Diceros bicornis minor: one gene and its partner. The protein of the gene in region 1 purifies or fractionates together with the protein of each later gene. This does not show direct contact. Links are inferred from orthologs where the notes say so. Each region holds a gene or a part of one and is shown in the gene's direction. Other genes may lie near its edges.

Region 1 (3,742 bases):
TTATATTTGGTAAGTGTTTCTTGTGCTATTTTATCATGTGAACTGTTTATAAAAATATATATTAAAAAAGTTGTAAAAAGACGTGTCTGAGTTGTTTTTAGGTCATCAGCCCATGGCGGGGAATGGTGTCTCTGCCCTGGGTGGCCCAGTCTCTGGATTCTTGTGCGCCTCTCAACTCATCAGACTTACTGGTCCTTTCAACAAACATGCAGAGGCTGGGTGCCACTGTGCCAAACTGGAAACCCAGCAGTGACCAACACAGAAGGCTTCTAACCTCTCATTGCTTAAAGGGGGAGAGACAGATATTAAAGTCTTCACACAGAATATTTCCTCCAAAATTTCTAGGATTTAGCCCATCCTTCCAGAAGGGCAAAAATGAGCCCTGTTTCATGCACAAAGTAACTAAGAGTAAGAGAGGGGCAGGGATGTCCTAAAAGATCACAGGGCAGCAAGGACCGACCAGGACTCATGCCCAGGAGAGGAAGGGAGGCTGAGAGAGGGTCACTGACTGAATGGGTTGCGTGAACAGGTCGTGTCAGGCATGGAGCCCTTGGATCCCTGCCTGGTGGAGTTCACACTGGTGTGCGACAATAACCAGTAAACAAAGAACAGTTGTGACAAGCGCTGCGGAGCTGACAGTGAGTGGAGAGGCCCCGTTAGATGCGGTGACCAGGGAGGGCCTCTGAGAAGGTGACACGCAGGCCGAACCCCGAAGGGTGATAAGGAGGCGCGGTCCGGAGGAGAGCGAGCACGGCACGCTCAGCGGCCTCGAGGCAGCACAGCGGGCGGGCGGGCGGCAGCCGCCGCGGCGAGAACGTGCCGGCAGAGACGAGGCCGCGGCTTTGGGATTCATTCACAGCGCGGCGGGGACCTCGGGGGGCCTTAGGCTGAAGAGCGGCACCTGGGTGCCGGGCGGGGGTCAGACGGGGGAACGAGGGACCAGGGAGAGCCGCGCGGAGACTGCTCCCGGGGTCCACTCCGAGGAAGGAGGTGGAGACGACTGGCGCGATTCGGGACTCGTTGAGGGATGCCCGGACTTGCTGGTGGACTTGGAGGAGAGATGAGCACTGGTATTAGAATACTGCGATAAAAAGACCAACCACCGAGGCGGAGCCGGGAAAGCACCCCTACCCCAGTCCTTGGACCATTCCTTCGCCTCCACCAGCACAGCTCCCAGATCCGGAACTTTCGTGGTGTGGGCGCCCGCTTCCGGCGAGGGGCTGACAAGAAACGGACCACTTCCGGCGAGGGCCAGGAAAGAGACGAGCTGTTTCCGGCGCGGTGCTTCCGGCCCGGCCCGGCCGGGCAATTTTAGGAAATAGTTCGGGTGCTGGCGGAACGCGAAGCTTCGCCGGGTTCTCAGGCTCTGTTCCCACCGCCTCCGCTCCCCCGCGCCGCCCTTGACCGCAGGAGTCCGCGCCGCCGGCGTCTCCTCTCTCCCGCCCTGCCAGACCCCTCGGGCTCCTTAAACAGCTCGGTCCTTGAGGTCCCTCTGTTTCCCCCGCGCCCCGCAGCCCTCCGCCCCCTCCCGGAGGCCGACTGTGTGGACGGTGGGGACCACCTCTCTTCCCTGCTGGGACTGAATGACCGAAGGTCCAGCGACCGTCCAGATCTGACCGTTGGGGGCATGGAGAGGTGGCCTGGGCTGGGACTGACCAGGTAAGGTCGTCCCCAGAAGTCAGACATGGGACTGACCAGCCTCAGGGCAGCCACGGCGCCTTCTCACCGCCCGGCCAGGGTGATGGAACTCGCCTATCAGACTGACCACTGAGTAACAGTGGACTGCCCTGGTCTGGCTCACCCAGAGCGACCAGCCCAGGCCTACGCAGTTTTGGGGGACCCAACCAGGGTGAAGGATCTGAACTGACAGTTCCCCCTAGGCTGACCTGGCCAGCCCAATTCACTGACCTCCTGTGCCCACCACCTGTGCAGCCATGGAGAAGATGTCCCGAGTGACCACGGCCCTGGGTGGCAGTGCACTGACGGGCCGCACCATGCACTGCCACCTGGATGCGCCGGCCAATGCCATCAGTGTGTGCCGTGACGCGGCCCAGGTGGTCGTGGCAGGCCGCAGCATTTTCAAGATCTATGCCATTGAGGAGGAGCAGTTTGTGGAGAAGCTGAACCTGCGTGTGGGCCGCAAGCCCTCACTCAACCTGAGCTGCGCCGATGTTGTCTGGCACCAGATGGATGAGAACCTGCTGGCCACAGCGGCCACCAACGGCGTGGTGGTCACGTGGAACCTGGGCCGGCCGTCTCGCAACAAGCAGGACCAGCTGTTCACGGAGCACAAGCGCACGGTGAACAAAGTCTGCTTCCACCCCACTGAGGCCCACGTGCTGCTCAGTGGCTCCCAGGATGGCTTCATGAAGTGCTTCGACCTCCGCAGGAAGGACTCTGTCAGCACCTTCTCAGGTGAGGTCCTGGGAGGCAGGTCGGGCAGGTCTGTGTCTTTGCAGGCGGCTGGCCTGTCCAGGCAGGTTGAAAAGTGCCGTGTGCATCAAAGGTCCTCAGCTGTGCTGCCAGACGGCTTCCTGGAGGAGGGGCCAGCCGAGCACTGCAAGAGTGGGTGGGGATCAGCAGGGGAGGAGAGGGGTACCTGGAGTGTGCTTGCAGCTCTGATGCACCTGTGGGGCCAGCAGGAGTCGAGGCTGGGTGTGGGATGAGGGAGAGGGCAGAGCCTGAGCAGACCACAGCCAACCTGGGTGGCCAGGCAGAGGGTTTGTTTCACTGCCTTCTCTTCCCCTGCCTCAGAGCGCCAGGCCACCTCACTGCAGGAAGTCTACCGGGTCCTCAGCCCAGGAAAGCAAAGGAGGCGGGGTTCCTTTCCCAGCAGGCCCAGCTCCCTGTTAGATAGCCTTGAGCTAGCTCTCCCTTGTTCACTTCAATGAAACCAAGTGAAGCACAGGGCCCTCAGAGGCGTGAGAGAATTGGGGGGCCTTTTAAGACAAACCCTGAGCTACCTGTGCTGAGGGAAAGCTGGACACTGCCCTCAAAGGCTCTTGGTGTGGCAGTCCACACAGTTGGGCATGGGCCCTCAAGGCCTCTCTGGTCCTCTGGGGCTGACCCAGCACCTCTAGCTCAAGGTGAAAGACTGGGCAGAGGCTGGGGCACCCGCATCCGTGCCTCCTTGGGCCTCCCTCGAGGGCCTCAGGACCCCCAGGGAGTGTGGACAGATGGCGCAGTGAGGCTCCTGTTTGCTCAGTGCTCTGATACTCAGTCCTGAAGCCAAGCCACAGCTTTGCACAACCACTGACATCAGATGCAAAATCTGGGGAAAATCGAGGTCCAGGAGTTTGTGTCAAAAACCATCCAATGCCTGGTATCCAGCTCCCTGGCCCAGGCTGTTGTGTCTGCTCTGTGAGACCTTTCCTCACCCCTTCCACCCTACGCAGTCCTTGAGGGTGTCCACTCCACCATCCAGGCCTCCCAGCCTGGGCCACAGGCAGGCATGTGACACCGGTCTACAGCCACTCCAAGGCTCCACCTTGGCCGCGCTCCCTCTTGGAGCCCCCTGTGGGGAGGCCCCCTCATCTTCTTCCTCCATTGGTGTCCGGCTCACAGGCCAGTCTGAGAGTGTGCGGGATGTCCAGTTCAGCATCCGGGACTACTTCACCTTCGCCTCCACCTTTGAGAATGGCAACGTGCAGCTCTGGGACATTCGGCGGCCTGACCGCTGTGAGAGGATGTTCACTGCTCACAATGGGCCTGTCTTCTGCTGCGACTGGCACCCCGAGGACAG
Region 2 (3,742 bases), on another chromosome or scaffold:
GAGGCCTCAGCAGGGCTCAAGTCTCAGGTCTGAGATTTTGAGTACCCAGTCAGCCCCAGATGCATGGGTCCATCCCCCAAAGTCTGAGGCTTGGGCATTCCTGGGCCAAGCACTTAGTCTTGAGGGGGGCCTCAAGCCTTAGGCCTGGCCACCTTCAGCTCTCTACCCCCTCAGACAGAGGTGGCTGGGGTCCTCCTTGTCTCTGTGACCCTGGTGGGGAGACTTCTACTCTGAAAATTGGGTGAGAGGAACAGGTGTGGGGGCCACCAAGGCCAGGCAGGTTTCACATTGTCAGCCCACTTGCAGGGCTCACAAAGCAAGGAGGGGTATATATCAATACCAGTCCTGGACAGCCCTTGCTGCCCATCACTTCACCACCACTTTTGTCTCCACCACTCCAGCCAGCTCTGGTGGCCCTGCCCCATGCTGAGCCATGAAAGGAAGGAGAGAGAAAGGCGCCAGGACACTGCTGGGAATCTCAGGGTCACCCAGGCTGCACAGCCGACCCCTACCCTATGCTCCAGGGGTTTGGGGGCAGCATTCTGGGTCCCAGCGGAGCCCCAGTTGGCCTCGCGGTCTTTCCAAGCTTCAATGACCTCACTCATAAGACCCTATGGAGGCCAGAGGACAGAACCCCACGCTTCCCGCTTGCTCCAGACCCCGGCGAGGCAGGCATCCTGCGGAAAGGGCGGAGCCCTGGGAGGGGGCGTGGCATGGGCGGGGCCTGGAGGACTCGACGGGGGTGGTGTCAGCGGGTGATCCCCGAGCCAAGGCTAAAGGGGCGGAGCCAGCAGGGGCGGGATTCTGCGGGCTGGAAAGAGTGGGGTCAGGCTCAGGCATCAGAAGAAGGCGTGGCCTCCTCGGATAGGCGTAGCAGTCAGGGAGTGGGACGCGCCGTAGCGGGAGTCGTGGACGCGGCCGCGCGGCGGCTCCTTTAAGCCTCCGGCACCGCCCCCCCCGCCCCGCCCCCGGCGCGGCCAGGGTCTGGTTGGCGGCGGGTTCGGGTCCGCGCGGGCCGCGATGGAGCTGCACATCTTAGAGCACCGGGTGCGGGTGCTGAGCCTCGCCCGCCCAGGTCTCTGGCTCTACACCCACCCGCTCATCAAGCTGCTCTTCCTGCCCCACCGCAGCCGGTGCGCGCCCGGGTTCGGGGGCACAGATGGGGGTGGGCTCCGCGGACTGTCGCTCCGGAACGGGGTCGGGAGATTAGGATCGCCGCGGGGCGAGCGGGAGCCGGCGGGGAGCCCCCCCACCACGGCCGCCATCCCGCCTGGGCCTGCCCTCCCTGGGACCGCCGCCTATCCGGCCCCGTGAGGACCCCTCCCAGGGCCAGTTAAGGCGCAAACAGCCTGGGTTGGTCAGTGCTTAACTCCGAGTGGTGCTAAATGGGGGCATTCCTTTCTGGCGACTTCCATCGGGTCAGCTTCTTCCAGATGCCTCCCATCTGGTCAGCGGGGCGGGTCTATGGGGCCCAAGGTCCGACGCCCCCGGCGCTGTTGCCGCAGGTGAGCCTCTCCTCCCTCCCGGAATGGAAGGGCGGGGGCGCTCCTGCGGAGGTAGGGAGTCGGAAAACAATTCGAGATTCCGGAGGTGGAGCCCACACCCCACTGCCCTGGGGAGAAAATTGAGGCTTGAGGGGGCAGGGAGGCGCCCCGCGGGGGTCTTTCCAGGCAGATGGAGCGAAGTCTACCCGCCCCCTTCGCCCAACCCAGGCTGAAGATGCCCCCTACTCCCAACCAGGTGCAAGTTCTTCAGCCTGACGGAGACCCCCGAGGATTACACGCTCATGGTGGACGAGGAGGGCTTCAAAGGTGGGGCTGGGCTGGGCAGGGGGCGTAGGGGATGTCGCACTCCCGTCTTTTCGGGATTCTCACTAGATTCTGGGATCCAATATCCCAAGAGCTGGGGCCTTTAAGGCGGATGAATCTGGGTTCGGATTCGACTCCACCACTCACTGGCTGTGTGCCCTTTGACAAGTAACTTCCCCTCTCTGAGCTATTTGTTTCCTCTTATGTAAAATGATATAGTTATAGTTCTGATCTAATAGGGTCCCATGAGGGCTTTATAAACGGGGCTGTATGTGAAGGTCGCTTAGCAGCCTCAGGCCAGCAGCAAAACCTCTGTTAACGTTTCTGGCCAAGAATCGGGTTCCTGTGGCTCTTATACCCCACTGGCCATTGTTTCTCCCTGGACTTCTCTCCCTAGTGCTGGTGCCCCCCTCCCGGACTGGTCTGGGAAGTCCAGGAGTCTGAGGGTTGGGGAAAGAATGCAGGAGCAGGCAGTGAGCCCAGGGCAAGGTCCTGGGGGGCCTCCTGGCTGTGCCTGGGCGATTAGCAGCCACCCTGGCCTTGGCTTCTATTCTGTACTGGACGCCAGCCTGGTCCCTCCCAGGTCCCTGGAACTGACATCTGTCTCATACTACTGCCAGCCTGACCTGTCCTCACAGGCCTGGAATCTCAGGCCAGCCAACTGGGGCTTGGCCCACCTCCCACTGCACAGCTTCAGGTCTTGGTTTCCCTATGTGTACCGCAGGAAAGGCTGAGTGTGCTAAGGGGGAAGGGCATACCCCAGCCAACCTGATCTGCTGGCGCCCCCTAGTGGTGTCACATGGTGTAAAACTTGTTAAGCCAGGAAACGCTGTCGTGAGGTAGATAGCTGCTGTCATCCCATTTTACAGATGAGGAAACTGAGACTCAGAGAAGTTGAATCATTTGCTCCAGGTCAACAGCAAGTAAATGGCGAAGCTGGGATTTGAACCCAGGTCTGTCTGAATCTGGAGCTTCAATCTTAACTGGGAAGTTTCAATTCCTGGCAGGCCAGCACTTGAAGCATTTCTCAGTCCTTGCATACATGCAGGTCTCAGGAGCAGGACTTGGAGAAGGGAGACAGCCCCAGTCTCCAGACCTGACCTTACCTTGGTAGAGCCCTCCAAGGCACAGACAGGGAAACAGGGGCAGGGGCCAACCCTGCAGGCCCTGACCGGGCGTGTGCCCCCTGCCCACAGAGCTGCCCCCGTCCGAGTTCCTGCAAGTGGCTGAGGCCACATGGCTGGTGCTGAATGTGTCATCCCACAGCGGCGCAGCCGTGCAGGCTGCTGGGGTCACCAAGATCGCCCGCTCAGTCATTGCGCCATTGGCCGAGCACCACGTGTCCGTGCTGATGCTGTCCACTTACCAAACGGACTTCATCCTGGTGAGTTTCCCGCAGGCGCCGGTGCAGGGCAGGTGGGCATGGGTGCCTGGGGACCCATGTGATGTGCCATCTCCTTGCGGTCCAGGTGCGGGAGCAGGACCTGTCCAAGGTGATCCACACACTGGCCCAGGAGTTCGACATTTACCGAGAGGTGGGCGGGGAGCCTGTGCCTGTTGCCAGGGCTGATTCCAGCAACGGCTTTCCCCGTGCCCAGCATGGTGAGGGCCGCCCTCTGACACCCAAACCTGGGTGGGGTCTCCTCTTCCCACTGAGGCCCTTCTCTTGTGCGCGTGGGTCTGTGGGTATGGGGAGCCCAGCTGACAATGATCACCTCACAAGGTGGGGAGATGGGGTGGGGGAAAGCTGTAGCCAGTTCCCGTAGAGCATGACCCTGCATTCATCCCAGGCCCCACCAGGGGACGCCCCAGCCCACAGTTGCCTTTTCACCTGCCAATGCCTGGTCCCTCCCTAGCAGGGCCCAGCCCCACAGTGCATCCCATCCAGAGTCCACAGAACCGCTTCTGTGTCCTCACGCTGGACCCTGAGACGC

The links. Proteins that work in one complex are often made in the same cells at the same time.
Region 2: the proteins of WDR24 (region 1) and CASTOR1 purify together in Homo sapiens (affinity purification with mass spectrometry; 3 studies listed by BioGRID and IntAct, counting the BioPlex papers as one, with this or other methods). This does not show direct contact. The link is inferred for Diceros bicornis minor from reciprocal best matches to the Homo sapiens genes WDR24 and CASTOR1.

The regions. Positions count from the first base shown.
Region 1 is NC_080765.1:47,631,432-47,635,173, forward strand, and holds the start of WDR24 (GATOR complex protein WDR24), read left to right. Parts: upstream 1-1,135; 5' UTR 1,136-1,934; coding exon 1,935-2,415; intron 2,416-3,564; coding exon 3,565-3,742. UniProt on the Homo sapiens protein: Catalytic component of the GATOR2 complex, a multiprotein complex that acts as an activator of the amino acid-sensing branch of the mTORC1 signaling pathway. The GATOR2 complex indirectly activates mTORC1 through the inhibition of the GATOR1 subcomplex.
Region 2 is NC_080774.1:23,803,563-23,807,304, reverse strand, and holds the start of CASTOR1 (cytosolic arginine sensor for mTORC1 subunit 1), read left to right. Parts: upstream 1-957; 5' UTR 958-1,020; coding exon 1,021-1,133; intron 1,134-1,740; coding exon 1,741-1,811; intron 1,812-3,004; coding exon 3,005-3,192; intron 3,193-3,277; coding exon 3,278-3,410; intron 3,411-3,664; coding exon 3,665-3,742. UniProt on the Homo sapiens protein: Functions as an intracellular arginine sensor within the amino acid-sensing branch of the TORC1 signaling pathway. As a homodimer or a heterodimer with CASTOR2, binds and inhibits the GATOR subcomplex GATOR2 and thereby mTORC1.